Linked DNA regions of Cricetulus griseus. The protein of the gene in region 1 interacts with the protein of each later gene in a pairwise test. Links are inferred from orthologs where the notes say so. Each region holds a gene or a part of one and is shown in the gene's direction. Other genes may lie near its edges.

Evidence for each region.
Region 2: the proteins of Cep126 (region 1) and Yae1 interact in a two-hybrid assay, tested with the Homo sapiens proteins (2 studies listed by BioGRID and IntAct). The link is inferred for Cricetulus griseus from reciprocal best matches to the Homo sapiens genes CEP126 and YAE1.
Region 3: the proteins of Cep126 (region 1) and Hmox2 interact in a two-hybrid assay, tested with the Homo sapiens proteins (2 studies listed by BioGRID and IntAct). The link is inferred for Cricetulus griseus from reciprocal best matches to the Homo sapiens genes CEP126 and HMOX2.
Region 4: the proteins of Cep126 (region 1) and Nudt21 interact in a two-hybrid assay, tested with the Homo sapiens proteins (2 studies listed by BioGRID and IntAct). The link is inferred for Cricetulus griseus from reciprocal best matches to the Homo sapiens genes CEP126 and NUDT21.

The regions. Positions count from the first base shown.
Region 1 is NC_048597.1:122,458,240-122,465,755, reverse strand, and holds the end of Cep126 (centrosomal protein of 126 kDa), read left to right. Parts: intron 1-1,995; coding exon 1,996-2,060; intron 2,061-3,838; coding exon 3,839-3,901; 3' UTR 3,902-4,323; downstream 4,324-7,516. UniProt on the Homo sapiens protein: Participates in cytokinesis. Necessary for microtubules and mitotic spindle organization. Involved in primary cilium formation.
Region 2 is NC_048596.1:240,632,668-240,640,933, reverse strand, and holds the start of Yae1 (protein YAE1 homolog), read left to right. Parts: upstream 1-3,399; 5' UTR 3,400-3,451; coding exon 3,452-3,577; intron 3,578-4,989; coding exon 4,990-5,111; intron 5,112-6,816; coding exon 6,817-7,246; 3' UTR 7,247-8,266. UniProt on the Homo sapiens protein: The complex LTO1:YAE1 functions as a target specific adapter that probably recruits apo-ABCE1 to the cytosolic iron-sulfur protein assembly (CIA) complex machinery. May be required for biogenesis of the large ribosomal subunit and initiation of translation.
Region 3 is NC_048600.1:41,905,626-41,913,432, reverse strand, and holds the end of Hmox2 (heme oxygenase 2), read left to right. Parts: intron 1-1,627; 5' UTR 1,628-1,663; coding exon 1,664-1,749; intron 1,750-3,313; coding exon 3,314-3,431; intron 3,432-4,075; coding exon 4,076-4,567; intron 4,568-5,180; coding exon 5,181-5,307; intron 5,308-5,394; coding exon 5,395-5,522; 3' UTR 5,523-5,667; downstream 5,668-7,807.
Region 4 is NC_048596.1:170,226,214-170,234,517, reverse strand, and holds the start of Nudt21 (cleavage and polyadenylation specificity factor subunit 5), read left to right. Parts: upstream 1-3,086; 5' UTR 3,087-3,223; coding exon 3,224-3,339; intron 3,340-7,558; coding exon 7,559-7,759; intron 7,760-8,304. Other genes in the region: prolyl 3-hydroxylase OGFOD1, read right to left, coding at 797-942, 2,677-2,830. UniProt on the Homo sapiens protein: Component of the cleavage factor Im (CFIm) complex that functions as an activator of the pre-mRNA 3'-end cleavage and polyadenylation processing required for the maturation of pre-mRNA into functional mRNAs.

The DNA.
Region 1 (7,516 bases):
TTTTTAATTCTCAACTTTGAATACACATAGAATTTTTAAAACTAAGTGTGTGTGGGCATGGAGAAATACCTGTAATATCAGAACATGAGTGGCTAAGACAAGAGGAGCAAAGGAAGCTAAAGACCAGCCTGAGTGGCCTATCAAGCCCCAGACCAGCTCGATAAAAATCCTGTCTTTAAGGGAAAAAAATTAAAAGTATTTTTTAACTAGGAAAGTAAGGATAGAGATACAGCAAACTTTCAAGCTAAAGATGTTTGATTAGTGGAATAATTAGAAGGGAACAATACCTGGTAGTTTCAGAAAAGATACTCCACAATTAAGTTGAACCACCAAAAAAATCCATGCCTTTCAACCACAAAAAGTGGGGAGGTTTTTAAGAAACCAAAACTTTACCTTTCTTCAACTTCAGTATTGAGCAGCCAACATAAGGGAGAAAACATCTCTGGTGCTCTAGAAATGGAGCCTAGTGTGCACCTCATACTAATTATAGCCCATGCTCATAGTACCAGCATGGTCTATAAATCCTGAAGCACAGGACGTAATTGAAAATGATCTCAAACTCCTAACACCTCCAGAATAATAGAGGAAACGTATATTAATATCCCTTTTGATACTAATTGCGATGTGGCCAATATTCGAGTTTTCAAAGAATGATCACAAATGTGATCTAAAGAAAATGAATAGTCAATAATCACCAAAAACTAATCCATAAAGAAAAAATCCATTAAAAATTCAAAAGAGGGATTGAGAGATGGCTCAGAGGTTGAGAGCATTGGCTGCTCTTCCAGAGGTCTTGAATTCAATTCCCAGCAACCACATGGTGGCTCACAACCATCCATAATGAGATCTGATGCCCTCTTCTGGTATGCAGATAGAATACTTGTATATATAAAATAATTAAATATCTTTCAAAGAAAATCAAAAGATATCACAATACATACTAAATAGACCCCAGACACAAAAAAAAACTAAAAAATAACTATGTTTATATATTTTAAATAATGAGAAATATGTTTCAAACTCCAGTAAGGAAATGTACAATATAAAATGACTTTGCCTGTTTGGAAATTACAAATCCTATGAGTAAATAAATTTAAAATTCAGCTCATTATTTATAAACAACAGATTATAGACATCTGAAGAGAGAATTAATAAACTAGAATATAAATCAGAAAAGCCTGTCCAGAATAAGGTACAAAGAGGTGAGAAGTAGCAAACGAGAGCTTAAATGACGAAGCTGTAAGACCTGAGACTGGTTGGGGATCACGACTCTCCAATTTAATGAGTACTACTAGCATGTAGAGTGAAAAGCGCATTTCAAAATAAGTAAAAAGAAATTCTTGGGGACTGGAGAGATGCTTCAGTGGTTAAGATCACTGGCTGCTCTTCCAGAGAACCTGGGGTTCAAATCCCAGCACCCACATGGCAGCTCACAACTGTGTGTAACCTCAGTTCCAGGGGATCCAACACCCTCACACAGACATACATGCAGGCAAAACACAAGTACACATAAAATTAATTTTTAAAAAGTGTGAGAGGGGTCCTGAGTTCAAGCCCCAGCACAGGAAGTGGGGGAAGCTGGTTACATAAGACTGGCTATCTGGCCTGGAACTCACTATGTAGACCAGATTAGCCTCAAACTCATAGAGACCTGTGTGCCTCTGCATTCTGACTATTGTCATTAAAGGCATGAGCTACCACAACCACCAATTTTTTTTTTTTACTTAAAAAGAATAAAACAAAAGGAAATATGACATTGGAATGAAGATTGTTTTATAAAATCCCCCTTACCAGCTTCAGCTTTTTATAATTGTTCTTAATTAAATTGCTTTCTTTTTTGGACCTATTTGCAAATAAGGACTATTTCTGGAGTCAGTAGGAAAAGAGTGTCATATTCAATTTTGAATATTTTGACACATTGAAATTTTGTTGCTAATTCTTTAGTGATTCTCTTTATATACATAACTATTTTTGTATCATGGTATGATTTTTCAGATGTACAAGAAGCCATTTACAAAAACCCATCCATCAAAAATACTTTACAGTTAATACCACTTCTGGTAAGTATTTGCTAAGTTCCTCCTTTGGTTGTTTCATGCAGACATTACTGAGGTAAAGACATTCGCAGGGGGCTGGAGAGATAGTTCAACAGTTAAGAGCACTTGTTTTTGCCAAGGACCAGTCATCAGTAACGCTAGTTCCTGGGGATCAGATGCCCTCTTCTGACCTCACGGGACCCAGTTACACATGGTGTACATATGCATGTGCAGGCAGAACAGTCATTCACACAGAATAAAACACACAAGTCTTTTCTAATGTGAGAACCTTGTGAGGTTTTGAGAGGAGAGGATAAAGGCTGAGTGCCCTGAGTCCCGGGATCTTGACAAGACAGAGGAAGGTTGTTCCCGCTCTCTCATCCAGTAGTCCTTCCCTGAGAAGCAGGGTTTGCACAGTGCACCCCAGGCACACAGGTTTGGAGCATCCTTGTTGGCAAGCACTTGTTTCATACTAGCTTGGGATTTCCCTAAATTTTTTGTTACCTAATATTACCTAATTTGGTAATATTTCCAGTGATACTTTTTCTTCCTGACAAAAATGTATTGAGTTCAAAATTTGCAAATTTTAAGTATCTTTACTTTGATTTGTGTATTATGAGACATTGTTTAATTCAAATTTTAAGTACTTTTTTCTTCAAAGGACATCAGAATCTATGGAGAAATGTCAATTAGTGACCTAGAAGATCAAATCTATGACACAGATTTCAGTGAGCTGTGAAAAACAGTTTTATCATGATGGGAACTAACCCACTAATGATGGGTAACCATCTAGCTACATTTGGTCCAAATGCTGGCTTAGTGAATTTTTCTTCTTTCATTTTCCAAGACAGGGTTACTGTGTAGTCCTAGCTGTCCTAAAACTCACTCTGTAGACCAGGCTGGCCTTGAACTCACAGAGATCGGCCTGCCTCTGCCTCCCTAGAGCTGGGATTAAAGCCATGCACCACTACCATGTGACTTGAAACAAAATAAATTTAATGAATTTTTAAGAAACAACTTTATCTTCGGTCTAAAATATATGTTAAACATTCCTAGGGTCTTACATGACTTCTAAGTGTTTTTGTTAAAATAAAAAAGGAAGAAGACAAAAACTATTATATACACACATATACTATATACACAACAGATGGCGTAAGTCCCTCTGCATATTTTGTGGGTTTTGAGACAGGGCATCATGTAGTTAGCCTTGAAGTCTGGATCCTCCTGCCTCTCACCTCTCACTTGCTGAGGTTACAAGGTGTAGCACCCCTGGATTTAGAAAGCTGCTGTCAAGGATCTGGAGACAGTGGTGGCTCTGTGAGTAAAGTGCTTGCTGTACAAGCATAGGGACATGAGTTCAGATCCCAGCCCACATAAAAACAGCATAGTCTGTGGCCCTACCCTTAGGAGTGGACACAGGTCAATCTCAGGGCTCTGCTGCCCAGTAAGTCGGCCAAAATGGTGATCCTCAGGTTCAGTGAAGGGACCCTGTCTCAAAAACAGAAATAATAAAATAAGTGGGAGGAGAAAAAAATGGCTGAATTCAACCTCTGAGCTCCAGGTGCACATAGACAAGTACACCTGCCCATGCACAACCACAACCATGCACATGCTCAACAGACACCCCTTTGAAGCACGCTACCAAAGGCAACACATTAAGATTGTGAGTTATTACAGAGAGCAGGCACAGCATTGTTGACACTGATCTATGTAGTCTTCTTAAAAGTCATAATCTGGAGGGAGAATGACCTATTAACATCTGTGGATCTGACAATATGAGAACCCTCTAAACTCTCTTACAGAACAGCCAGCCAAGGACCAGGTTCTCTCCTGATACTGGATCCAGAGTGCAGAAAAAATACTGATCAACTGTGACAGTCACTATTTAGTGGAATCATTATTTTTGAGAATCCTGTAAATAAATTCTGTATTTCTGCATTTATTAATGATTTAAAATATTAGACTTTATAAAAGCAAATCATAATGTAAGTAATGGAAATGAATTTACTAGCTTATATTTATGCTACAAATTATACTTTATTATGTATTTTCTTGATACATTTTTAATGAATGAAATACTTCATTGTTTTCAATAAGCATGCTAATGAATATAAATTTTCTCTATTTAAAAGTGAAAGAGGCTATTTTATTATTCAAATTATGTATTAGGTATGATAGTGAAGCTTTGTTTTCTGAAATTACTAATTCTAATAAATTTTTGTACAAGTATCGAAGAAGCATATGATTGATAACATCCCCCATAAATAATAAAGCTATTTGTCTAAGACTTTGTAAGATCTCTGCCTTTTGTGTTACCAGGAGGTTGAGTTACTAGCTTGCACGGTCAGTAATTAATATCATTTTAATTCATGAGTCATTTGAATATCAAAAAATAAAAAAACTGACAACATTTTAAAAATTCTTAGTAAGAGCTAGAAAAATGGCTTGGCATTTAAGAGTGCTTGCTGTTCTTTCGGAGGACTGGAGTGTGATTCCCAGGAGCCACTTTTGGTGACTCATAACAATTAGTAACCAACTTGAGTTCCTAGGGATCTGATACCTTCTTCTGGCTTCCACAGGCGCGTGCACACACACAAGCAAATACACAAACACATACATGTAAACAATACAGTTTTAAGATCCAAAGGGGTGGGGTAGACATGAAAACTGAAACGTGCTGGTTAACTTTTCTCTATTAAGTATATTTTATTCCCCATTAGGAATATTATTCACTTGTATAACAAGACTTATACTAGAGATTTGCTTTCTAAAATATTGAATCAAAGCCAAAAGTTACATGACCTTTCAAAAACGGTTAATAGTGATAGGCCCAAATGTGGTGGTGCACACCTTTAATCCAACACTTGGGAGACAAGAGATAAGTGGATCTGTGTGAGTTCAGGGCCAGCCTGGTCTACAGAGCCAGTTCCAAGATAGCTAGGGCTGTTACACAGAAACAGTCTCGAAAAGCTAAGCAACCAAAGAAATAATGATCGTCTCTCACTGTTTTAGTTCCTTCCCCAAGTACTTGTGCTTCAAACCCTCATATGGATTATTTCAGCTAAATTTCTTGCTTCTGATAGGATCTCTGAAGTGTGAATTACATGCTGATACAAAAAGGCAGACCTCTCACTGCTGGAGAAACATCCGCTCTTTAGCCCTTAATACTGTTTATCTGGCTCCTAGTATTCTGAGTCCTCTTTTACTGTCTACCATAGTGCTTGCCACCTTTCCTACAATGACAGCTAATCAAACTATTTATAATTCCCCCAAATAAAGCCTGTTGTTTCATACTTCTGTGCCTGTTCATTCAATGTTGGAAAGGCCTCCCCACACACCTCATAATCTCTGAGTAATCATTCATTCACTGTGTTAAATCCAGTGAGGTTGAACTTCGTCCAGATTTTTTTCCTAATGATCATCTCTACTCTTTACTCCAAACAAATGATGTGTTTTACCATAAACTGAACTTACTTGCACACATGTGACTCTTCTTCTTAGTCAAGAATACCTGGAAAGTCCATATTGTCATTTGTGTACTCTAAACAATTAAAATAGCACACATTATAGAAGACCCAAATAATGAATACAGGAGAAAATACTCAGTCACTCTTCTGTACTAAACATAGAAAAGAAAAAAAGAAAAGAAAGGAAAGGAAAAGAAAAGAAAAGAAACTATAGTTTATACAAGAAATACAATTTTAAATATTTAAAATAAGCTGTGAGATAATCACACACAGCAAGCCAAGAGCCAGCATCAAACTAAATGAAGAGAAACTCAAAGTGATTCCACTAAAATCAGGAACAAGACGAGGCTGTCCACTATCCATATCGATTCGATCTAGTACTCAAAAGTTCTAGCTAGAGCAATAAGACAACAAAAAGAGATCAAGGAGATACAAATTAGAAGACAAGAAGTGAAATTTTCACTATATGCTCATGATATGATAGTATACATAAGTGACCCCAAAAATTCTACCAGGGAACTCCTACCTCTGATAAACACCTTCAGGAATGTGGCAGAATACAAGATGAACTCAAAAGAAATCAGTAACCCTTCTATATGAGAAGGAAATCAGAGAAACATCACCCTTCACTATAGCTACAAACAACATAAAATACCTTGGGGTAACTCTAAACAAACAAGTGAAAGACCTTTATGACAAGAACTTTAAATCTTTGAAGAATGAAATTAAAGAAGATATCAGAAAATGGAAAGATCTCCCATGCTCTTGGGTAGGTAGGATTAACATAGTAAAAATTAGCAATCTTACAAAAAGCAATCTACAGATTCAATGCAATCCTATCAGAATCCCAACACACAATTATTCACAGACCTTAAAAGAACAATACTCGGCTTCATATGGAAAAACAAAAAACCAAGGACAGCCAAAAACAATCCTGTATAATAAAGGAACTTCTGGAAGCATCATCATCCCTTACTTCAAGCTCTATTATAGAGCTCCAGTAATTTAAAAAAGCTTGGTATTGGCATAAAAACAGAGAGGTGGACCAATGGAATCAAATTGAAGACCCTGATATTAATTCACACACCTATGAACACCTGATTTTTGACAAAGAAACTAAAATTATGAAATGGTAAAAAGAAAGCATCTTCAAAATATGGTACTAGCATAACTGGAGGTCGACAGAAGAATGTAAGTAGATAGGGATAAACTATGCACAAAAATCAAGTCCAAATGAATCAAAGACCTCAACATAAATCCAACCACACTGAACCTCACAGAAGAGAATATGGGAAGTACCCTTGAATGGCAGCCTTCAGAATGGGAAAAGGTCTTCATCAACCCCACATCTGACAGAGGGCTGATCTACAAAATACACAAAGAACTCAAGAAACTAGACACCGAAATACCAAATAATACAATTAAAAAATGGGGTACTGTTCTAAACAGAATTCTCAACAAAAGAAACTCAAATGGCTGAGTTTAAAGAGTTGCTCAACATCCTTAGCCATCAGGGAAATGAAACTCAAAACATTTCTGAGATACCATCTTACAGCTGTCAGAATGGATAAAATAAAAAACACTGATGTTAGCTTATGCTGAAGAAGATATGGAGTAAGGGGAACACTCCTCCTTTGCTGGTGGGAGTGCAAACTTGTACATCTACTTTGGAAATCAGTATGGCAGTTTCTCAGAAAAGTGAGAATCAGTCTACCTCAAGACCCAGCAATACCACTTTGGGGCAAATACCCAAAGGATGCACACTCACACCACAAGGATGCTTGCTCAGCTATGTACATAGCAGCATTATTCCTAATAGCCAGAACCTGGAGACAAGCTAGATGCCCCTCAACCAAAGAATGGATAAAGAACGTGTGTTATATTTACACAATGGAGTACTAAACAGAAGGAAAAAAAAAAAAAAAAAAAAGACATCTTGAAATCTGCAGGCAAATGGACGGAACTAGAAAAAACAATCCTGAGTGAGGTGACCCATACCCAGAAAGACAAATA
Region 2 (8,266 bases), on another chromosome or scaffold:
TCTTTGAAAGATGAGACAAACCTGAGCATGCTTCTATATACTGCCCATCAATAGGCCATTAGAAAGATAAATTAGGCTTCCTGTCTGGCATTCCTCCTTCGTCCTTTTCGGTAGTCAACAAGCACTTTGTACTGGATTTTAAAGTACTTTTCCTGCTTGCTTGAGTTTTCTAGAGACAAAATTAAAGGAGGCAACTGCCTATAGTCCCCATATTAGCCTTACCATCAAGCCCTCGCTCCATTTCTGCTGCATTTCTAATGATCTCCCACCTATTTTTGCCACTCATATCAATTTTTCTAATACATATTACATAACCTTAGTGACACCTTGATAAAAGCAATTCAGTGTGGTACCCGGGAATCTATTGCTGAACACTAAAGACAGTATTTGCCAAAGTTCAGGAGAAACAAGCAAGAAACCAAATTTCCTTGGTTTAAAGAAATCTTCTGCTGCCTAGTTACCAAGGCTGAATGATTAAGTGTCCATGCCAGATACTGGGGAGACTCTAAGAAAGGTTTGTGCCCTCTTGGAGTTTATTATGTCAACTACCAAAGAGCACCTTGCAAGAGCACAAATAGAGTGTGGAAAACCAAGATAAAAAATGGAAGTCAGCAGGAGATGAGAAATAGAAAGACATAAAGAAGAATTGTTGGAGCCTTTGAAAGTAAAGACAAAGATGAATGACAAGCAGGCGACTGGGGAGAAAAATGTGGTGAATCTTAAAGGCTGACCCTATTAGAGTATGTTTATATGAGACATACTGAGTTGCAAGATACAGTTCTTAAATCCTCCAGAGTAAGTTCACATCATGACATCAAAATTTATGCAAGGGTGTCATAGTTATTTATGAGGTTTTTTTTCTTCTTTTAAAGAGTGGGGATGCAATTTTGGAAAATAGAATAATACACATGAGAGGACATTGAAAGATCATCTGGCTATTGAAGGTGTGAGTATTTATGGGATATGCTGTGGTTTCCTAGCCAAGGCCACACGGTTCCAGGACATTCTCCAGGCATAACTAAGCTGACAAGGGAGCATGACATGTCCGTGTGACCCAAATGTATGACTTCCCTTGTTCTTTGTTGTAGAGCTCTTCATACATTAGCTAAGACATCATGAAATACACACGCCAGCCCAGGACGCTGGTTCTGCCTCCCTTGTCACAGAAGTTGATCAGCATCACTTTCTGAAAGCTTACTTTGCCTGCATATACTTGCTCTCCTTGGTCTCTTTCACATGCATTGTGTTCCTAACTCTGCCTCTCAGTGGATATAATTAGAGCAAAGACTACATCTGCATACATGCATCTGACTTAGGTCTTATGTCCAGAATACACATGGAACCTTTAAAATACTACAGGAGCTGGGGAGATGGGTCAGTTGATAAAGTGCCTGCTGCATAAGCTTGAGGCCGAGTTCACCTCCATAGCAACCACATAAAAAGGTGTGGTGTAGGGGACACTGTAACCACACCTGCTTGGGGCTGGTTACAGGTGTGCCTGGCCACACCCTTTTGGGCATGGTCAGGGTGATGGGAGGAAAGCTTAAGAGTGAGGGACAGGCAAGCAAGCACATGGGGCCCCTTCTTCTACTTACCTTGCTCCCTGCTGGCTGGCTAGGCTGTTGTGATGAGTAGGATCCTCCTAAATAAATACCCTTATATTTAGACCTGACTCTGAATTGCTATTTCACATATTTGGCATTGGTGTGGTAGCTCTAGTGGCAGTGGGACAGATCCCTGGTGTTCACTGGCCAGACAGCCTACCCCATTCACGATTGTCTAGTTCAGTGAGAAACCATGTCTTAAAAGATAAGGTGGAGAATGAGTAAGGAAGCCATCAGATATTAACCCCCAGCATCCACACCCTTGCACACATATGTACACATATACCTGCATACACACTGCATACAGATATGCTGCATAGATGCATGTGCATTCACACACACACACACACACACACACACACACACACACACACACACACACACACACACCTTCTTGAATCAGGAGGTCATATAATTGAAGATGAGAGTCATGAAAACTTGGGCAACAGTGAGAGGTCTCTGAACAGAAAACAATCCAAAATTCAAAACCAAAAGGAGTCAAAGGTGTTTCTGGCAGCATTTGACTTATGCTGTATTGTTCAGCTTCACTGCAGCCTTGACCTGAACACACGGCAAGCACACTGTGTAATGCACTTGCCATCAAGCTACACAGTGCCACTAAACACTGCCTCCAACACCTAGGATCAGAGCCAAGACTATTGCATACTAGATACTGAAGTGTTTCTACTATACATACTGTAGAAAACTTTTATAGAAATACAACAACCTTTAATATTCCCTACCACCATTTCTCAGTGTTGTATTTCTATAAAAGTATCAATCAGTATATCTTCAGACTGCATTGTATTAGAATGTTTGGTTTTAAAATAGCTTTCAGAAGTTGGTTTTCTCCTTCCATCATGGTGATTGATCGCAGTTCCTCAGGCTTGATGGCAAGTGTTTACTGAACCAACTCACAAGCATTAGTTTCCAGTTTTCTATTTTATTCATTTCAATCACTACCATTTTTTCTAATTAATACCTATATATGCATACACCTTAACACATTTTATATTTGGTTTTATATATAGATTTACGGGATACAAACTCTGAAAATGTACAATAGTAACTTTGGGCTGCAGGGGAATAGCTTACTGACACAACACTCCTTCCACATTTACAAGGTTTGGGGCTCAATCCCCAGCACAAAAATCGTAACCTATCTTCTCTTCTCCCACAGTAGTGCATTTACATTTTAAATTTTGGGTTATTTATATATTATTCTTAGTCAACTGCCATTTCTACACTAATAGGAAGTCCACAGGGTCTGAGAACTCAGGGCGAGAACTTTTATTCCTATGGAGCGCTGTCCCTCAAAGGCCTAAAACGATGTAAACTAGGTACTCCAGAAAACTTTTCAGAAAAATTCAATGACATGACTCATTTTTCTCACACAAAGGACAAAACAGGAACGCTGGCGTCCAGTTCTTTAACACGTACTCCGGCTAGAAGCGGCTAATGCTTGAGCCACACTCCTGAACTCTCAGAGCCGAGCCGGAGCGGAAGGCTGGGAGGGAAACTGCCAATGGATGCTGGTTTTACTTCATCTCAAACTGACCGCAGAATCACCTTTCATAGTCCAATGTCTTCGGCTGCACGCTGCTGGCCAGCGCCTTCAGCACTCGCAGAAACTGAGTCTCAGCCCTTGAATGGCGGGACTTAGCTCCCAGCACCCACCCCGCCTCCGGACCCAGAAGCGTGGGAGGACAGCCCCACCCAGCCCCTAGTCGCAGGGCTGTAGCAGACGCACACGCCCCTTCATCCTTCACCTACCCTTTCGCCCCGCCCCCTGGCCGGAAGCACTTGCCGGCACTTCCGGTGGTCCGGGACCCAAGGCTTCCTCGGAGATGTCTTGGGTCCGAGCGGTTCCCGAGATTCCCAGCTCTGGGGATCAGGACGTGTTTGACGAGGAAGCGGACGAGACTCTGTTAGTGCAGCGGGAATGGCAGGGACACATGAGGAGACGAATCCAAGTAAATGGCCAGGGACCGGGACGCGCGGGAATGGGTCTCCCACGCGGGGCTTGGGGCTCGCGGGGGCAAGCCTGGACGGAGGGGGACGGCTGCGGTGACCCCCACGGCCGCCCCAGTCTTAGGATTTCCAGGTTGGTTACTTGGTAACCTTTAAACAGGCTCGTTCTTTGAGATCCCCGGCTGGATTTGGATCAGGGGACTGACCGACTAAAGTGAACTTGATCCAGTCCCTCAAGAGTTTGCAGTTTGGGGAGGAAAAGAGCCGAAGGGGAGAAATATACACCGACTAGACTAACGGCTGGCAGAAAACGCACATTCACAGATGTTGTTCAGTGGGTGGAGAGTCCAAAGTTGGGTGTGGTGTTACTAAAACTCTGTAAAGGTGAATTTAAAACTATTGTCAAAGGACGGGAAGGTAGAGAAGGGGATATTGTTTCACTTTTTCCTTGAAATGTGTCATTCATTCCGGATCCGTCTCACCATTCATTGAAACTTGTTTAATAATACGAGGGTAGGGTCAGCTTAGTTTTGGGTGACAACTGATAAGATCTGTGTCCAAATAGAGGTGGATTCCAGAGTATAATGATCTCAGTTCCACCCCTGGAACCCACATCTTGGAGGGACAAAATAGGTTCCTTCTGACCTTCACATTCAAGTTGGAGCATGAAACACCCCCCCCCAAGTAAATATATGTTACATAAATATTTTTAAAGTAAAAGGTAAAACCATGTCACCCAATATATTTATCAGCCATTTAATTGCCTTTTTAAAACTGCAGTTTCGATCTACCCTAATTTAATAGTATTTGTTGAGTCCAACAACCATTATGCCATTATAAAAATGCCTTAGGAATTTGGGGCTAGACCAATTATAAGAGGACAAAAATCTCTATGCCACATTCGAATTAGATTTCTAAAATCAGACTTCCTCTCATCTGTTCCTAAAAATAGTTTCCTCTTCCCCGGCCTTGCCAGCCTCATTAACTACCCTGTTGTAGTCCATTACCAAGACCAGACATGTAGGTTTCCATTTCTGTGAAGAACTTGCTAACAGGTATTAAAAATTACATAACAACTGTTGTCCAATGTTTATTCAGTAACCCTATATTTCCAAAGTGAGTTCAGGATGTGGCATCGAAGCACAGGCCTGTCATCACTTAGGAGAATGAGGCAGTAGGATTATGAGTTCCAGGCCAGGCTGGAAACAAGGTTTAAGAAAATAAAACATGTGATAAGGAAGTACAAGCCAGGAAGAGGGTTTTAGAAGAAACATTCTGCTTTGGATTTAAGTCTCTGCCATATCATGTTCAGTTAACATAGTAAAAACCTGCTAAATCTATTTTCAAAAGGGGTCCTGTGCTTTTCTGGAAAAGATTTACTTGGAGTCAGTTACAACTAATTTCTGATTTTTAGGAAGGTTACAGAGATGGAATAGATGCTGGCAAAGCAGTTACTCTCCAACAGGGCTTCAATCAAGGTTATAAAGAAGGTGCAGAAGTCATTATAAACTATGGATTACTCAGAGGAACATTGAGGTAATTTTAAAAATTTAAGTAATGAATCCTTTTAACCACAACTCTAATGGATTTTTTTTAATGGAGGTAATATGTAAAAATAAAAGCTTTTCCTAATGTTGAATACATGAGTCTTCAGAGCATATAAAATCGTTGTCAGTTCATCCATTTTAATATGTGTGTGTCTGATGCTTTTCCTGTTTTTGCAAAGAAATGGTAGGAAGGTGTCTTTTTTTTTTTTTTTTTTTTTTTTGCCATTTGGACTAGCACTAATCACTGATGAGCTTCCAAATAAGGCTCTTTGTACTCCCACATGTAGTATGGCAGGCCTGTAGGCTAGAAGTCCATTGGGAAAGCTGCAACTACTAATGGAAAGAGGTCCTATGTGTTTCAGCCCTGAACTTTGAATGCCTGTCAGAATGCCATAGCAATAATATTAGAGAGTAGTCAAACGCTCAGATGACACATGGTGACTAAGAATGGAGTGGGCCTCTTTGATGTGGGTAATGCTTCAACTGTCCTTTATAGAGAAACAAACTGCTACAAAGAATCACAAATTTTAAAACAGAAAAGAATCGTTTGTTTTAAATTATGTTGAGACCTTTAGAAAATTAACTAGAATATATAATTTACTACACCAGGAAAGGGACCAAGGGGTCATCTCCACTTCATGTTTATGACTTAGAAAGCATACTGCTTCGTCTTTCACAGCAGTCAATTTCACTTGTATAGTATTTTCCGGGAGGGGGCAGCTCAGAGGTAGAGTGTACGCTCAGCATGCACACAGCCCTGGGCTCAATCCTCACCAAAGAAAGAGAGATCCATTGTTTTCTTAAATTGTATAAACAATCCGGGAGGAAGGGTCGTCTACTAGAAAAGTAACAAATATAATTAAGTGTATTTGAAGTAGAATTCTTAACACTTTTGGAGAAAATTAAAGCTCTGTTAGTGATTCTAATTTGTGACAAAGATTAAGAATGATCAGTTTAGAAGTTGTTTAATGTCCTTAAAGGAGAACCTGGGGCTGCCTCACAGGCCTGATGTCTCAGTTAAATATTGAGTACTGCCAAGAAAGAAGAAAACATTCCATTGACAACACTTTGTGACAATGAGTAGCCCAGGATGAAGTCTTTAAAATACTCTTCCCGATAGTGTTTTGTCCTTCTAATAGTTTAGCAAGCCTAGGTTTTCTGCCTTAAAAGGAACAAAAAGGAGGGACTGGTTTTTCTGGTCTTTAGGTAAATTATATTTTATTGCATAGAAGTTACATAGTCAAGGAAAATAGAAAAAAAAAAAAAAATGGGCCAGGCAATGGTGGTGCTCAACTTTAATCCCAGCATTTGGAAGGCAGAGGCAGATGGATCTCTGGTTCGAGGTCAGTCTGGTCTACAGAGTGAGTGCCTGGAAAGGCTCCAAAACTACACAGAAAAACTCTGTCTTGGGGGAAAAAAAAAAGAAAAAAAATTGGTACAGAGCTATGAAGGAGGAGGTATGATTTATAAGCAGTTAATATAATTAAGTCTTCTTGTAGCTTGTATTAAAAGATGCTTTATTCTTTAGTGTTATTTACATTGTTATTTTCCTAATTTGGACATGTATTATTATTATCACTAATCTGTTTCTGCCTGATGTTTTGTAGAAGGACAACGTGTAGGGCCTAGCATTCTAAATGCCTGTGACTATGTAATTTTTTTCCTATTTAACTCTTGTTCATATTTTCATTCAGTGCTTTGCTCTCCTGGTGTCACCTTCATGGTAATAGTTCAACTTTGGTCAGTAAAATCAATAATCTTCTGGACGCAGTTGGCCAGTGTGAAGAGTGTGTGCTCAAACGTCTGAAGTCAGTCGCTCCACAGCCCCAAGTTACAGATTTATTGGACTCCATTGAGGATATGGACCTTTGTCATGTAGTTCCAGCTGAGAAAAAGATTGATGAAGTTAAAGATGAAAGACTCTGTGAAAATAGTGCTGAATTTAACAAAAACTCTGACAAGAGTCATATCCGGACAGATTGTTCACATTCAGAATGTTGCAGAACACAAGAGCATGAACATTTAGAAAAGCCAAGCCTCACTTGGATTCTGGAACAGACAGCTAGTTTAGTGAAACAGCTGGGAGTGTCAGTAGACGTATTACAGCACCTGAGACAACTCTAAAATTATCTCCCCTTTTGGAGTGCAAGTAGTGCTCACAAATTTTCCTTAGAGCATTGTGTTTCTAAAAAAGGTAACCATTGGTTGAATATTTAACATGTAGTTACCCCTTGTGGAAGTATAAGGGGCTCTGTGCTAACATTAGTAAATGGAATATAAGCCTTTGTCTTTGTTATTGGTAATTTTTTAGCTTTAGATATGCTCAGAAATCCTCATTGTCATTTTCAAGTTTCTAATCAAAATCTAGTCATTTTTAGACTAGCAAAACCCAAGATCAAGGGGAAAAAAATCTAATGCTACTTTCTGCTTCTGTCAGTATCAGGTGGTTTAGGATCTCATCACCAGCAACCAAACCAGAGTTGCCAGAAATAGCTTAAAGTAGTTGTGTAAATAGCAATACATTGAAATCAAGAGACCTTAGAAACTGACACAATATTTATATCATTGATTAAATAATTAAAAGCCAAGTGTTAAAATTGACCTTATTTACATATTGGTTATAGACCTTCAATTCTATGAAAAATAGAAAAAATACATTTCATATTGAACTATAAAGAACTGCTTAGTTTTCTAGGTAGTGAGTAGTTGGCCATGTTTTCTCAAAACAGACTATTTCTGAACTGTAGCCTTGTTATTTACATTGGAATAAAACACTGAGCCCATTGACTTATATTACTTCAACATGAAAAGTGTAATATAGCATAGGCAGGATCATATTCAGATTTTTGTTCCTTGACTTAGATATCAGGAAAGGATTTTTCATCACTTTTCCCCACCTGGAGTTAATATGAAATGCCTGACTTGAGAGGCACCCAAGTAATTGTCCCATACTGACAGCTTCAGTTGCTGTTTGGCCAGTATTTAGCTATGCTGAGAGATGCTGCCCTAGTAAGAAACTAGCAGGAACACCTAAGGGACTGCGAAAATAATCTACTGGTTTCTTAGATCCCTCTTTAAAATGCACAGAATATTAAGAAATTGAGGCAGCAAATTTGGAAGTAATGTTGTTTCCGGTGTGCTAAA
Region 3 (7,807 bases), on another chromosome or scaffold:
ATCAATTTTTTAAGGAGTGATTCTAGAGTGTACAGGTCAGCAGAGGATTTGGAAATGTAGTCTTACAGAGATTGAAGATAAGTGTTTTCACTGAGGCAAGGTAACCTCTTAGTATCATCCTACATGGCCACTCCCTTGAGGAATGGTGACTAGGCAACAAGAATGGACACAGGTTTCTCCCCTAGCAGTAACCCATGTTAGCTGAATGTGGTAATTGAGCCTTCCCTGAAAGGAAGCTTTCAGACAGCTTGAGGACTTGGTAATCTTCAAAGGGAAATAAGTAAATTGTACTTGGAGTTTAGAAAACTGTTAAAGCCATAGCAAGTTATTAGTATTATTTTATTTTTAAAAATACATACTGTAAAAATAAATAAATACTTACTGTAAGTCAGGAGGCAGCAGTGGTGCATCTAACCCTGAGCTGCACACCTACCTCAAAGGCTGTTCTTATAATAACCTAATTGTCTGGATTGTAGAAAATGCTCACTAAAGGAGTACTAATTGAGGTAGAAAATTAAGTTTCCCTTGACCCAATTTGGCCAGATATGGCTCTAGAGTTGGAATTTATCTTTATGACTGGCTTTATTATTTGATGATGTTATATCACACTGTTCATCTGCAAAGTTCCCTTATGTACTGTGTAAATAGAAATCTCCAGAGATTGAGGATGAAACTGTCATATTATGGGATTGTATTTCCCTTGCTGACGAAATTTCAGCCCTGAAGTAGGCAATGGGAGTTGATCAGCTACCTTTTTATTCCATGCAGCCGAGTGAAGTACAGAATAGGGCTGGGGACAGTTTGCATTGAAGACACTTGAAGGTGTCTCAGGCTTGTTGAGTTGTTCTGTTCTACAATGGAAATGTTGGGCACAGCCTGGCTTAACCAACTCTAGCCAACACTGCTTCTGTTCCTTTCACCTGGCAGCCCACAGGCAGGACTGTATGGTAAAATGGAAAGCCTTGCATTGTTTAATAAGATGAAAGTTCCTGCAGCCTTTTTAAAAATGTAGCTTTCTTTTATGTCTTTAGTGGCTTTTTATTTGTGTATAATTTCAGACATGCAGAGGAAAAAAAAAACCGATAAGACTAGTACAAAGAGCTTTTGTAGCCCAGTGGTGGTGGTGCACACCTTTAATCCCAACACTCAGAAGGCATAGGCAGGCAGATAAGTGTCAGAGCTCAATGCCAGCCTGGTCTACAAAGCAAGTTTCAGGACAGCCAGAACTGTTAAACAGAGAAACCTTGTCTGGGAAAAAAATAAACAACAAAAAAATTAAAAAGAACTTTTGTATACCTTTTACCCAGACTGTCAGCATTTTATCTTATTTGCTTTCTTCACATGGATGTATACTACATACATTCTTCTGAAGTGCTGAGAGTAATTGCAGACAGCATGCCATTTACTTCTGAATGTCAGTGTGTATTGCCTAAGAACAAATTCAGCATCATAATTCTGTTACCTAGCCCACTGTCCATCTTCAGATCTGTCCATATTCTGAAATGGTCCCAGTAATGGCAGAGCTTTGTTGTGAAAAACAGTCTTGAGGTGCAGAGGTGTCTCCTCAGTTATGTTGGCTTAAAGCCAAAAGACATTATTCAGTCACCAATTCCTTCTGTCTCTACAGGACCAGAGTGAGGGCAGCAAGAGCTACTCAGCAACAATGTCTTCAGAAGTGGAGACCTCGGAAGGGGTAGATGAGTCAGAGAAAAAGAACTCTGTGGCCCCAGAGAAGGAAAATCATACCAAGTGAGTGATAGCAACTGGCTGCTTCTCATTGGGAGGGTCCAGCACCTGTTTTGCCATCTGCCCGCATGCCAGTTCAGTCTGTCGGTGGCACTTGGGAATGCCACAGCCCTGAGCTGTGTAGAGCCTGGGATGTTTGGTTGGCACTGCAGGGCACTACTGTCCAGCCTGGGCTGTTCCACTCTCTGGTTTTCTGTGTTCTGTTACCCAAGGAAACAGGCCAGGCCAGATAGGAGTGCTGAGTCAGGGTTTCATAATAGTCATCTTTCTCTTCTTCTTCTTCTTCTTCTTTTTTTTTTTTTTTGGTTTTTCGAGACAGGGTTTCTCTGTGGCTTTGGAGGCTGCCCTGGAACTAGCTCTTGTAGACCAGGGTGGTCTCAAACTCACAGAGATATGCCTGCTTCTGCCTCCTATGTGCTGGGATTAAAGGTGTGTGCCACCAATGCCCGGCATCTTTCTTTTCTTAAAAACCAAGTAATACCAGGCATGGTGGTGTGCACCCCTGATCACAGGCTAGCCTGGTCTACAGAGCAAGCCAGTACATCCAGGGCTACATAGACAAACCCTATCTTGACAGTCAAGGAAAAAAAAAAAACCTAAGTGGTTTTTCACCTGGGCTAATGAGGAATAATGAGAGGAAAAGCTGGTTCCTTTTCCTTTTACAAGGTCATCTCCCTACCAAATGTGGAATCTGAACTCTGTTCTAGGTCAGGGCTTTACTTGCTAATCTCTCTAGGGCTCAGAATACTGGCCCTGATCTGCGTTTTTCCTAGCCTTTCACTAAAGTCCTGTAGTTGGCTAGGTTATTTTTTTTTTTTAGAAGAACAGTGATTTTTTTTAAGGTTTTATTTATTATGTATACAACATTCTGCTTCCATGTATATCTGCACACCAGATGAGGGCACCAGATCTCATAATGGATGGTTGTGAGCCACCATGTGGTTCCTGGGAATTGAACTCAGAACCTCTGGAAGAGCAGCTAGTGCTTTTAACCTCTGAGCCATTTCCCTAGCCCCAACAGGCAGATCTCTTGAGTTTGAGTTCTACAGAGTTCCAGAATAGCCAGGGCTACACAGAGAAACCATGTCTTGGAAAAACCAAAAAAGAGGAGAAGGAGAGAAGAAGAAAAGAATACAAAGCCAAGATCTTGGTTCTTGTCTCTCCACTGTCTCATCTTTTCACATCTGGGCCCATCCACATAATATCCTGAGGAATTGGTCCCTCATTGGGAGGAAGGCAGCTTTCTGGGCTGAATTAAGTCTTGTTTCTTCAGCCACTAGGTGGCCACAGAAGCCAAAACATCATGCATTTGGGTGCTCTCTCTCTCTTTCTCTCCTGTCTCCAACCCCTCTCTCCATAGTAATAATCTTCATGCCCCCTGAGTTTTTGTGGCAGATTATCACATTTGCCTACCTTGTGCTGACAGCGCTCACCTGTTCATGCTGGACTGGTGTCTCTGCAGTTCCAGCTTCCAGTTTGTATCTGGGGTCTAAACTGTCTTTTTCCCTTTAATCGTTTTTGGAGAACTGGAAAGGGCTACTGTCTCACACACAACTCATTTCCACAGAATGGCAGACCTCTCTGAGCTCCTAAAGGAAGGGACCAAGGAAGCACACGACCGGGCAGAAAATACCCAGTTTGTCAAAGACTTCTTGAAAGGAAACATTAAGAAGGAGCTATTTAAGGTTTGTGCCCTCAGTCAGATGGGGTTGGAATCTAAACTTTAATAAGGGATGGGAGATGGGGTGGCCTTAGTTGGCTGGGAAGTTGCCCTACAACCACTCTAAAGTAGAAGCTGCTGGGTATTTTTCTTGGAGGTGGTCCAGATGGGCTCTAACCCTGGGTCCTCCAGCCTCAGCTTTCTGAATATGGGGGATGAAAAGTATGTGCCTCCACGACCAGACATAAATTTTTATTTCCTGGTGTTAATCATGGCTGCCCTAGCCTAAATGAATTAACAAAAATATGTTTGTAAATATTCAGTCTTTTCTTTAAGAAGCTACAGAAGCTTCCTAGTTGTGTTAAGTAGTACACTATATAAAAAAAGGCATCAGAGGGTCTTTGGAACTGGACAAAGTGGCTTTTGTCTTGAGCTACTCTTAAAACATAGTGAATTAAAAAAAAAAAAAAAGAAAAAATCTGGGTAGTGGTGGCAGCACACACCTTCAATCCCAACACTGGGGAGGCAGAGGCAGACAGATCTTTCCTTGGTCTAGGACAGCAAGGACTACACAGAAAAAGCCTGTCTTTGAAAAACAAAACATGGTGGGTTCTAGAGCTGCTGGCTCAGTTTATAATCTTCTCCCACAATCTTCCATTGCCCTCACAGCTTGCCACTACCGCACTTTATTTCACATACTCAGCCCTTGAGGAGGAAATGGACCGAAACAAAGACCACCCAGCCTTTGCCCCCTTGTATTTTCCCATGGAGCTACACCGGAAGGAAGCACTGATCAAGGACATGGAGTATTTCTTTGGTGAAGACTGGGAGGAGCAGGTGAAGTGCTCCGAGGCTGCCCAGAAATATGTGGATCGGATCCACTATGTAGGGCAGAATGAACCAGAGCTGCTGGTGGCCCATGCTTATACTCGTTACATGGGGGACCTTTCAGGAGGCCAGGTGCTGAAGAAGGTGGCCCAGAGGGCACTGAAACTCCCCAGCACCGGGGAAGGGACCCAGTTCTACCTGTTTGAGCATGTGGACAATGCCCAGCAATTCAAGCAGTTCTACAGAGCCAGAATGAATGCCCTGGACATGAATTTGAAGACCAAAGAGAGGATTGTGGAGGAGGCCAACAAAGCCTTTGAATATAATATGCAGGTACTGGGTACAGACCCTGGATGCATGAACTTGATCTTTTAGCAGTAGAATCAAAGCCAGAGCTTTCTTGAGAGGCTATTTGTAGCATGACAAATGAGCTCCTATATACCCTAGAGAAAGATGAGGGAACCAGTTAGCCATCAGAGAGCATGGGGCCAGTGTGTAGCTCCCAGATGGAGGCCTGGTTTGAGGCCCATGCCTATTACTGGAAAGGGCAAAGCTCTAGCATTTGAGAGGTCTGAAAATAGAACTATCCCCCTCTTTCTCGCTACAGGTTTCTAGGATTGATAAATGGGTAATTTCCTCATTTAGTAGCAAAGAAAGGAAAAATATTTAGTATGGAGCCAGATTTAATTGGAAAGTAGAGTACATTTTATAAGTCTTAGGTAGGTAGGGCTGATCATGCAGAAGCCATTTCTGATTCCAGAACCCCATGTCAGCCCTCAGTGTCAGAACAGCAGCAGTCAATTGAACTCCCACTAAGACTTGGTTTGATGTTCAGCTGGTCCTGATCAGGTGTATCTAGGCTGTAGCTTCTCTATGGGTGGTGAGTAGGTTGCAAATTCTGAGTCTGCCTAGTTCGTGGATAGCTCAGTTGATTTCTGCTCCTCAGATATTCAGTGAACTGGACCAGGCTGGCTCCATGCTGGCAAGAGAAAACCAGGAGGACGGGTTCCCCATGCACGATGGGAAGGGGGATGTACGTAAATGCCCCTTTTATGCTGCTCAGCCAGACAAAGGTAGGTTGTGGGTCCTGAGCTAACATTCTGGAGTGGGTGTGTCATTGCCCTCCACTGATGCCATGTCTCCTGTTGTGCTGCATGCAGGTACACTGGAAGGCAGCAACTGCCCCTTCCGGACAGCCATGGCTATGCTGAGGAAGCCTAGCCTCCAGCTCGTTCTAGCTGTCAGTGTGGCCCTGGCTGCTGGACTCTTGGCCTGGTACTACATGTGAAGGACCTGTCCTGTCATTTGCATCCTACCTACCCCAAGTGACCTATTCCATCCCTATCTCCACCTCTAACTAAACAACCACCTCAGGTGACTTTTTTAATGCTGGGTTCGAGAAAACAAGCAACCAATAAAAGCCAGACACTAGAGCCTCTGCGTAACAGCATCTTCTCTGCCAGCCAGGTACACACCAGGCACAGGCTGCACTACTAGTCAGACTTGGACTTCTGATCTGGCAGTGCTCCACGATTTTTGCCATTTTGGAGGCCTGGGTGCATTCTCTTCTTTAATAGTGCTTGGAGTAGTGCCTTGCTTGGGAGTGGGCAGTCCACACACCCAGGCTTTGTGGTAAAGAGTCATGCCAACTGATGTTCACTTTCTAGGCCTCAGGGAGCTTTTGGGGGTGGAAACTATGCTTTTCTGTCTCCAAGCCCAGAGTTTATCCTGTTCAACTGGGATTTCCCTAAGAAGCCTGTTAGCCTGGGCTGTCTTCACTGACCTATATACATGTTACAGCACTTCGGACACCTCATACTTCCTCCTCCCTGGGATAGGGTAGGTGAGACTACCTCCTGGTCCCCAGAAGTCTACAAGGAAGTAGAGATCCTCAGAAATAGTGGCATGTTGCATACATCCTCTTTTGATGACAGCCCTCCCCTGCTTCCCAACACTCCTAGCCAATTCCTAATACCTTATTTTTCCATGTATTCATGCTAAGCATTATAAAGATCCTTAATGTCTACTTGAACCTGTGGTTTTTCTTAGAAATACTTTGAGGTAAACAATTCATGGTCTAAAATAGAAATGTGGGTTAAATATTTTTATTAGTAGGAATCTATTCCTGTAAAATTCTGTGAAAAAAAAAAAAAGGTAAAACAGAAGGGAAACTCTTGAAAGGTGAGCCCACGATTTTCACAGTTGAGATGGTTGGATTTAACCAAGGCCAACCTGGTTCAGAACCTGAGTGCCCGGCTTCATCTTCAGACTATATATAAGATCTCAGTCCAGTAGTGCTATCTTGTTTAAGGGCAGAATAATACTGCCTTCGGGTTAGGAGGTCACTAAGTTGGGAAAGGGCTCCAGTTCTCAGGCTCTGCAGCCTGGACACCTAATTATGTAAATGGTGGAAACCAATGCTGAAACCAAAACCTCCCTGGCCCAGAACAGCTAGGTCCCCCTAGAGTAAGTCTATATATATAAATTCTGGTTTGGTGTAATTGGGTTCTTAAACATGTGTTGTTTCCCAGGCCCAATCTCTTGCTTGCCAGTATACTACCTGTAGACCCACCCTGTCCCTCAGAAAAGAAGGAAGCCAGGCAAGACAGCAGAGGAGGCCCAGGGCAGGGAAGTGAAAGGGCCAATTTAATGAAACTACAAACTGGGACCAGGCCACAGTTCACAGTGATAGGAGGCCATGCAGTGGTAGTGTGAGACCAGGAGAGGGACAGCAGCAGGACACAGTGTCCACGTGGGCATATTCACAGACCATTCAGGAAATAGTTTGGGTTTACACCCTGGCTGGGCAAGACTCATGTGCTTAGGATACCCCCACTACTTGTGACTTCTTCCTGGTCCTCAGCCTAGTGTCACAGTTCTCCCTACTGAAGTGCCCCAATATGGAAGCAAGTCAACTATGGCAAAAAGACTGGCACTTATTCCAGAGACTCATGAACCTACAAGGAGGCTGTTATGATCTGCCACTCTCAGTAAGCTACCAGGTAAAAGTTATACCCATATATAGCACAGACACAAAAGTAGACAGACAGGACAGGGTCATGGGCATTCATTCCTTCTGGCCCCAGAAAATATAGGGGTTCACGGAGATGTGGCCAGAAAGGAGATCTGCACATTGACTCAAAGGAAGCTAGATGAGAAAGGGGGCAAGTTCTTCTTGACTACCAGGGCCTTTAACTAGCCCAGTGTCCTCTTTGCCTTATACCAGGCAACTCTTGGATACCTCCTGGACAGTGGGTAGAAGTCCTGGATTTCTATACCTGAGAGTTCTGAGGCCCAAGTTGGCAGTCATCATTCTTACTCCACCTTTGGCACCCCAGATAAGACAATATACTCCACATAAACCCAGGCCTTAAGACCCAGTCTTGCTTGGGTTCACTTAACTCTAGATGATTCCGACCTCATTCCAGCAGGTCAGATACAACTGTGGTTCCAGGCACAACCCTCACCATAGGCCCTAGTCTGGGAACCTATTCATGCTTTGGGTGCTTTTGGTCCCAGGAATAAGGACCAAACCTGAACCCTTATAAAGAAAGGACCCCAGTAAGAGACCCT
Region 4 (8,304 bases), on another chromosome or scaffold:
AGTGGCTCAGTCATTGCAATGTTTGCCTTGTGAGCACAAGGACTTAGGTTCAATCCCCACAATCCACAGAGAAAAAGCTGGATAGCATATGCTTTTTATTTCAGTGCTAGGCTCATTGGTCAGGCAGCCTAGCCTATTTGATGAGCTTTAGGCTAACGAGAAACCCTGATTCAAAATAAAGGTGGATGGAGTCTGAGAAATGGCACTCATGTATGTCCATCCACATTGCCTAACAAACGAACGCCCCGCGCTCTCGCACACTCACAAACACACACAGGTACCTCAATTTAGTAATCAGAGATTTAGTAATTAGGATTGAAAAGTTGACATAATTATAAAAGCAGATAACTGTGTTTTTTTGTTACCTGGTAAACTTTACTGGAATAAAAGTTTGATTTGCATTAATTTTCCGAGTGTTTTGTCACTCAAATATTTAGTTTGGATAATTCAATCATATGTACAAGGTCTACAAATTGGATTGGGTTAGGATACCATTAGCTGACCAGATGATCAGCTCCAGTGGAAAAGAATGAGATGTTAGTTACTCTCTTATTCCTGATAAAATCAAAGGGGAAATGCAAAGAAAGCAAAGAGAATTCTTTATCTGCTTCATCGTGGGTATGTGCATATAGGTTCATTAACCACCTGATGAGGTTCTGGGAACAACTGAACTTGGGTCTTCTGGAAGAGCAGTAAGCACTCAGCCCACTGAGCTATCTGCCTAGCTACCAGTAATGAAAGACTTTATAGCCAAGGAATTTCTGAGGAGGAAGAGCTAAGACATAGGAATACATACCTGCTGGAACTTATATAAATCATTGTACTTTTCATGGAAGTCCAGACTCAAAAGTTCCTTCTGAAGTCCTTCCAGGAAGTCTTGGCTTTGGATGAAGTTTGGGATTACACAATGAAGAAAAGGATCCATGTCCAAGACAATAGCTTCTGTTGGAAGAAAAATATTACCTTTGTCTTTCTTCTCTTCTGTATTATACCAAGTAGCACAACATAATACAAAAGAAGACAATCATGAATTTTGGGAAACCTAATATTTAAAGTTTAAGATTCGGAAGAACCAGGCTGTAGTGACTCATTCCTTTAATCCTAGCGCTTGGGAGGCAGAGGCAGGTGGATCTCTGTGAGTTCAAGGCCAGCCTGTTCTACAGAGCTAGTTCCAGGACATCCAGGGCTACACAAAGAAACTCTGATTTGTTAAAAAAAAAAAAAAAAGATTCGGAGAAGAATTTTAAGTTGTCAATCCTCTAGTCATTCAAGACTACCTTTCTCAGATACTGTGCTTAAATGCTAGTCATTAATGAGTGAAGGAGATATCACTAATGGAAACTCCTGGTTTTTGTTAGTTTGTTTTGTTTTTAGTTTGTTAGCTTACTGATTCTTGCATCAATGCATTTTAGAGTCTTAACTCATCACTTTCTCCAGAGCAAAGTAAAACAAGAATAGCAAATTAAACGAGAATGGCAAAACTGGCTGGCCATTTTCTCTTTAATCCTGACCTTACTTCCCAAGTTTCCTGTGGGGAGGAAGTGACTGCATTAAAAAATAAATAAATAAATAAAGGAGTACTGACAGGCAGTGGTGGCACTTGCCTTTAGTCCCAGCACTGGGGAGGCAGAGGCAGGCAGATCTCTTTGAGTTCCAAGCCAGTCTGGTCTTCAAAGAGAGTTCCAGGACAGTCTCCAAACCTACAGAGAAATTCTGTCTCAAAAAAAACCAAAACCCAAACAAAACAAAACAAAAAAACAAGCAAAAAACAAAAAAAAAGGAATATCAGTTGGTTTCTTATTGATTTCTCTTCCACTAGATTATCAACCTATGACTACAACCAATCCGGCCGGACCTAGTAAGAGCCTGACCCGGGGGTGCTTTACAGGAATTACCTCAATTACGTTCTCAACAACTGAGGAATAGATAATGCTGACTATGCCTATGCAACAGATGAGGAAACTGAGAACTCTCTGTGGAGAGTCCACAGCCTGCACTTTAAACACTAAGTTCTCATTTTCTCTGTGTGTACAGAGTGTCCAGGATTCGCCTTTTAAAAAACACTCAAACGAGACAACAACAACAAAAACAGGGCAAACTTGGGAAGAAAATTCAAGACGCACCCAGCCAGATTCACGCTGTATAAGGTAATAACTTGTAGCTAAGTCTGGAATGATGGTTCCTTTCAAGATACTTTCGTTTCATGTGTCAGGTAGCCCAACAACAACGCACGTGAAAACCGGTTTCTCCAGGTGCTAGTTCTCTGGCAGCTCTCCACATCTGTTCAGGTTAGATGGCCATGCCACACTTGCCAGATTATTTACTGGTTCCCGGGGAAACATTTATGAATGCCTACGAGCATTAGTTTGTCAATCCTACCTTCCCGAAGGGAATAGTATTAATAGTTACGCTTTATAAAAGAAACTGACGCTAAAGCAAAGTTAAATGCATTGCCCAAAATGTACAATCAGCAGACCTCTGGTTCTAGAACTCAACCCTCAGTTTACATGTCTTCTACTTCCCCACACTCACGGACCTATATTTTCCTCCCCAGGCTTGTCAAATCAAGCAGAATTGGGAAAGAACCGAGCAGCAGTAGGGGGCTGTAGTCGGAGTGGCTATGGTCCTTCCCACACCTCTTCTCGCGGCCGCTCCTCCCTCACAGCACCCCATTACCATGGCTGAATGGCGTCCGGCAGCTCCAGGCCTCAGCCACCTGCTTCCTCACTGTTTCTTCCGTGACAGCGTCCGAAAACTCCGCCGCTACCTGCTTTTTTCCCTTCTTCACTGGCCGCGCGGGGCCCGGATCTGCGGGCCGCTTCCCGTTCATCCTCACCAAGCACAGTTCCACGCCAGGGACGTCAGACACACGACTTCCTTCCACAAACTACAGTTCCCAAAATGCCACATTCTTTAGTCCCAGCATCACCCAATGGGAAGGCACCAAAGAATAAGGAGGCTGGATCTATCCATAATTAACCATTGGAAGATGAACATACTGCGCCACCCTGCCAGCGATTGGCGGAATGGTCGCGGTGGGATACCCTCCCACTTCCTGCCGCCAGAGCCTATTCACTTCCGGCGTGCATTAGCCTCCTCTTGCTCTCGACTGTTAATGGCGGGCGGCGGCTGCTGAGCGGGACGCAGATAACCGCTGCCCGCCCTGCGGAAGTCTCCGCAGGCCCCGGCTTTCTGCACGTCTCCTGTATCGGAGCTGTTCAGCATGTCTGTGGTGCCGCCGAACCGCTCGCAGACGGGCTGGCCCCGGGGGGTCAACCAGTTTGGCAACAAGTACATCCAGCAGACCAAGCCCCTAACCCTGGAGCGCACCATTAACCTGTAAGTGCGGCGAGGCCTGGGCGGGCAAAACAGTCACCGGATGCGGGATGTCCCTTCCGGGATGCTCGCTTTCTTCTCCCCCAGACCGCTTTCTCGCCCCGGATTTGGCAGTTTTCCTATTTTGAAGAGAGATTTGTTCTCCCTTTCCTTTATTCAGTCATGGTTTGCTTTGAATTCATTATAATGTGCATGTTCTTTCAACCCATTGTTTTCATTGCACATGTATTTGTTTTTTATTTGAAATGAGTAACTATAATTTTGGTAGGGTGTATATTTCTTTTAGAGTAAGTTTTCCAGATTTACCTCTAATGGCCTAGGTTTTTTTTTTCTTTAAGTGTTGTGTAGTATTCTATCAAGTGACTACATTTTATTCATTTTCGTGCTGTCCTCTACCTCCTGCATTCGTATGTCTTGTCTGCCGAAGTGACACTATCACCGCCTGCACCCAGTAGACCTAGATTGAGAGTACACACTCTGTTGTCTGGTGGTCTTTAACACTGTTGGAGATAGCTTGTTGCCCAGAAAGCCTGTTGTGTCGGCTGTTTTTTTCTTCTTTTCTTTTCTCTTCTTTTCTCTTCTTTTCCTTCCCTTTCCCTCCTTCCCTCCCTCCCTCCCTCCCTTCCTTTTTTTGGACACAAGGTTTCTCTGTATTGCTTTGGAGGTTGTGCAGGAACTACCTCTATAGACCAGGCTGGCCTCCAATTCACGGAGACCCGACTACCTCTGCCTCCCGAGTACTGGCATCAAAGGTGTGCATCACCAACGCCCGGCTGTGGGCTGGTTTTGTTTTCAACACACCTTTAACCAATTTATTGCTTTTCGAGATCTCTCTCAAAATTTTGCTGTAGCAAGAAGTTGGGATTGGGATATAGCTTTATAGCTCACTCAGTATTTGGTATCCTGCTGCCCAATGTGGAGCTGATGCTAATGGAAGAAAGTGGCCAGTTCAGGCTGATTATGTATTTAAAAAGTGCAAGACTTTGCTGATGGTGTTTTGGTAAATCATCATTGTGTTTCTTGCTTTCATGTTCAAGTAAATGAACTTTTCCTTCTAAAACCAAATGTGACATAAAATTGAGAAAATTACTATTACTGTCTGTCAAAACAACTACTGGCCTGGAAACTTAGGTAATAAAATATGAGGTTTGTAAAATCTGGAAGTAGCTGAAAACTATGTCTGTGCAAATTAACTTTTGCAACAAAATACATAGTTGCACTTTAATTTCCTGTTATAAAAATGTTTATAAGATTCCTGTGAGCCTGGTGGTGGTGGCACATGCCTTTGATCCTGCACTTGAGAATCAGAGACCAGTGGATCTCTGAGTTAGAGGCCAGTCTGGTCTACAGATGGAGTACCAGGACAGGCTCCAAAGCTACACCGAGGAATCCTGTCTCTTAAAAAACAAAACAAAACAAAGGTTCCTATGAAATGGAGAAGGCAAGTGTTCTTTTAAAAAATGAATGAGGGGTTTGCTAACTGGTAGTTTGCCTAGTGTATGCAAGACTCCAGGTTCCATCTCCAGCACCTCAAAAAGTAAAAACTGCAAGCACAAGGTCTATATTACTTCAATGATGAGCGAAGGCCATGGGTTTTATATATACTATCCTTGATTCCTAGGTCAGTTGACATCAGGCCACTGTAGAATTATTGAAATAGGTGTGCTTTTAGAGATGTTTTACAGGTGAGCATGTTATTTTTCACTTCCTTTGTAATGCAATGTTGAGAAATAAATTGCTGTGAACTTGAGTCCACCTGGGTGAACTGTATACTAAATGGGATTTAGTATGTAGTAGGTCTTTGTTTCTGTAGTATGTTTTCATTTAGGGAAAACGGAATGGGTGCTTTTGTAACACACAGTGTGTATACACAGGACTAGGTGCTCAGATGGATGAGTAAGATGCACACTGTACTTTAAGATGCCCACAGTATGATGTGGAAAATGTGCTCTATGCGGTCTGATGCTCACATCTCACAGCTGGAAATTCTAATGTTTCATTCTGCTGGGATCTTACGATGTAGGAGATAGCCCTTGCAATAGAAATATATTGTGGCTGGGTGGTAATTCTTTCTAACGCAGGTTGGGAAAACCAAATGTTAACACATTGGAAAGCATTGTGCAGTAAATTGTACTATGTGTAGTAACTTCTTCCTAATAATGATGATATTAGATGGATTATTGGATCTACTGCAAGATTATTTGTAGTTGTTAAAGACCCCTGAAAAATGGGCCTTTAATCCCAGCACTTGGGAGGCAGAGGCAGGCGGATTTCTGCGAGTTCGAGGCCAGCCTGGTCTCCAGAGCGAGTGCCAGGATGGGCTCCAAAGCTACACAGAGAAACCCTGTCTGGAAAAACCAAAAAAAAAAAAAAAAAAAAAAAAAAAAAGACCCCTGAAAATGGTATATTTTCATTGTCTTAGAGCTACTTTGTTTATGCTTAGAATTTGACTTCTGGAATTAGTGGGGTTTTTTTGTTGGTTATCTTGATTTTCCTTCTCAAGAACTGAGAAGGAAACTGTGTATGTAGTTGTCTATTAATGTCAAGAGTTTTGTGTGTGATATATGTGTGCTGTATGTATCCATGCAGATGTATATACTTGTGTATGTGAGGGTTTGTATGTGGAGTGTATGTGTGCACTCGAGTGTGTGTGTGTGTGTGTGTGTGTGTGTCTGTGTCTGTGTGTGTGTGTGTGTGTGTGTGTGAAGCATTTGTGACTGTATGGGTGTGCCTGTGCCACACAGCACTTGTGTGGAAGTCAGGGCAGTGTCAGGTGTCAGTTCTCACCTTCTACCTTGTTTGAGAACAAGATCTCTCACAGAGTTACCATGGGATCTTGTGGAGCTATCATGCTCAATTTGGTTTGTTTGGTGCTGGCTGGATGTTTGTTTATTTTTGTGGGTGCTGGAGATTGAATTTAGGGCCTCATGCTTGCTTAATAAGCACTTTACTGACTGTCTTCTCAGCCCAGTATCAAGGATTTTGTTGTTGTTGTTGTTATTTTTGGTAGATGAGATGCTTTGGAGTTTGCCATGTTCAGCCAAAACATTCTTACTGAAAAAAACCTATAATTTAGGGGCTGCAAGGTAGAATGTGGTGAAATATAAATGTAGATTTTAAACTTTAAGGAAAATTTGGTCTTTACTAATCAAGATGAAGTCTTTAGCACTTTAAGTCATACTTTGGGTTCTAGATAGAGAGAAGAGGCTATTTAGCTTAGATATGGGCGGGAAGAGTAAGCATACTGGATAGGGTAAATGCCAAACTCAGAGGGAAAAAGAAAACAGGTCTAAGCCACTGTGGTGTTTTATGTCCTTAATCCAGCACTTGGGAGGAAAAAGCAGGCTGGTCTCTGTGTTCAAGGCCAGCTTGGTCTAAGTTCCAGAACTACTCTGTTTCAAAAAACAAGCAAGGGGATAGAAAGATGGCTCAGAGGTTGAGAGGTCCAGAGTTCAATTCCCAGCAACCACATGGTGGCTCACAACCATGTGTGGTTGTGAGCAAGATCTGGTGCTGGCTTCTGGCGTGCAGGCATATATGCAGGCAGAACATTGTATACATAATAAATCAGTCTTTTTTTAAAAAAAGAGCAAAATCTGGGTATTGCTGGGAGAGACAGAAAATAGTTGGAGAGGGACTTCTTGAGGTAAGAGTGCTTGCTGCCAAGGCTGATGATGTGAGGTTCAGTCCCCAGAACCCACATGGTGAAAGGAGAGTACAGACTCACACAAGTTATCCTTTGACCTCTGAACATGTCATAGAACATCATATGAAGACATGTACAAAGACTTTTTTTTTTTAATTAAAAGAAAGCAAGAGAGATGTTGATAGACAGTGGTGGCTCAGCATATATGAGAAAAGAGATTAGCTGTAGTGCCATTTAGCTAATAGAAGTTATAACTAGGTTAATCAGAAGAACCAGGCCGGTCATTTGGTATTAGTGTAATGAAATGATTAAAACCAGTATGGATATAAACTTTGATAAACATTTCAGGGACCTTAGGACAATGCAGTCTGTGCTTAATTCATGGAAGTTCTGGCTTCGAGAGTAAGACAGCAACAGTATTCTCATCTTTGCTATCTCATAGCTGGTTGTGAAGTTTTGGGCCAGCCTTTGACAGTGTAGCTTTGACCACTGTTTTTTTTTTTTTATGTTGTTTTGAACTGTCCTGGTAAATAAGATCATCTGTTCTCATGCTAAATGCTTGTCTTTGGTTCACAGGTATCCGCTTACCAATTATACCTTTGGTACAAAAGAGCCCCTCTATGAGAAGGACAGCTCTGTTGCAGCCAGATTTCAGCGCATGCGGGAGGAATTTGATAAAATTGGGATGAGAAGGACTGTAGAAGGGGTTCTGATTGTGCACGAGCACCGGCTACCCCATGTGTTACTGCTACAGCTGGGAACAACTTTCTTCAAATTGTAAGTAGTGTTGGAAATTAACAGCAAGACAACTTGTAATAAATTGACTCTTTAGCTTGGAACACAATTATTTATTTAAACAAATGCTATGAAAGATTCTTGAAAGAAAACAGTCACGTTTTTTCTCCAGTGTAGTGCTTACTTCCTTTCCAAAGTAGAAATCTGCATGTTTTATATATTGTTAATATCCTTGAGCTAGATCAGCCCAAACTCAGTTTCTAGGAGTGATAGAAACATTACTGAATGAGGTTGTTTTTGTGTAGTTTAATCACTTGAGCCCATAACTCTAAATATTTACTTGCTCACTGTTAAGATTGTGCCAAAAAGAAAATCCTCAAAACTGTCTTTGAAAAATGGACTATTCCTCAGACCTAAAGAATGTAGTCTGTTGTCTGGGTATTTGCTAGACTCCATTATATATAACTTTCCTGTGAAGAGGCTGTGGTGGATTGCTGGCCAGTGGTTAGTTTATTATATATATTGGCTTTTCTGGTTAAAACGAGGATTGTATATGATTGTCTGGTACTTAGCATTGTGTGTTCAAC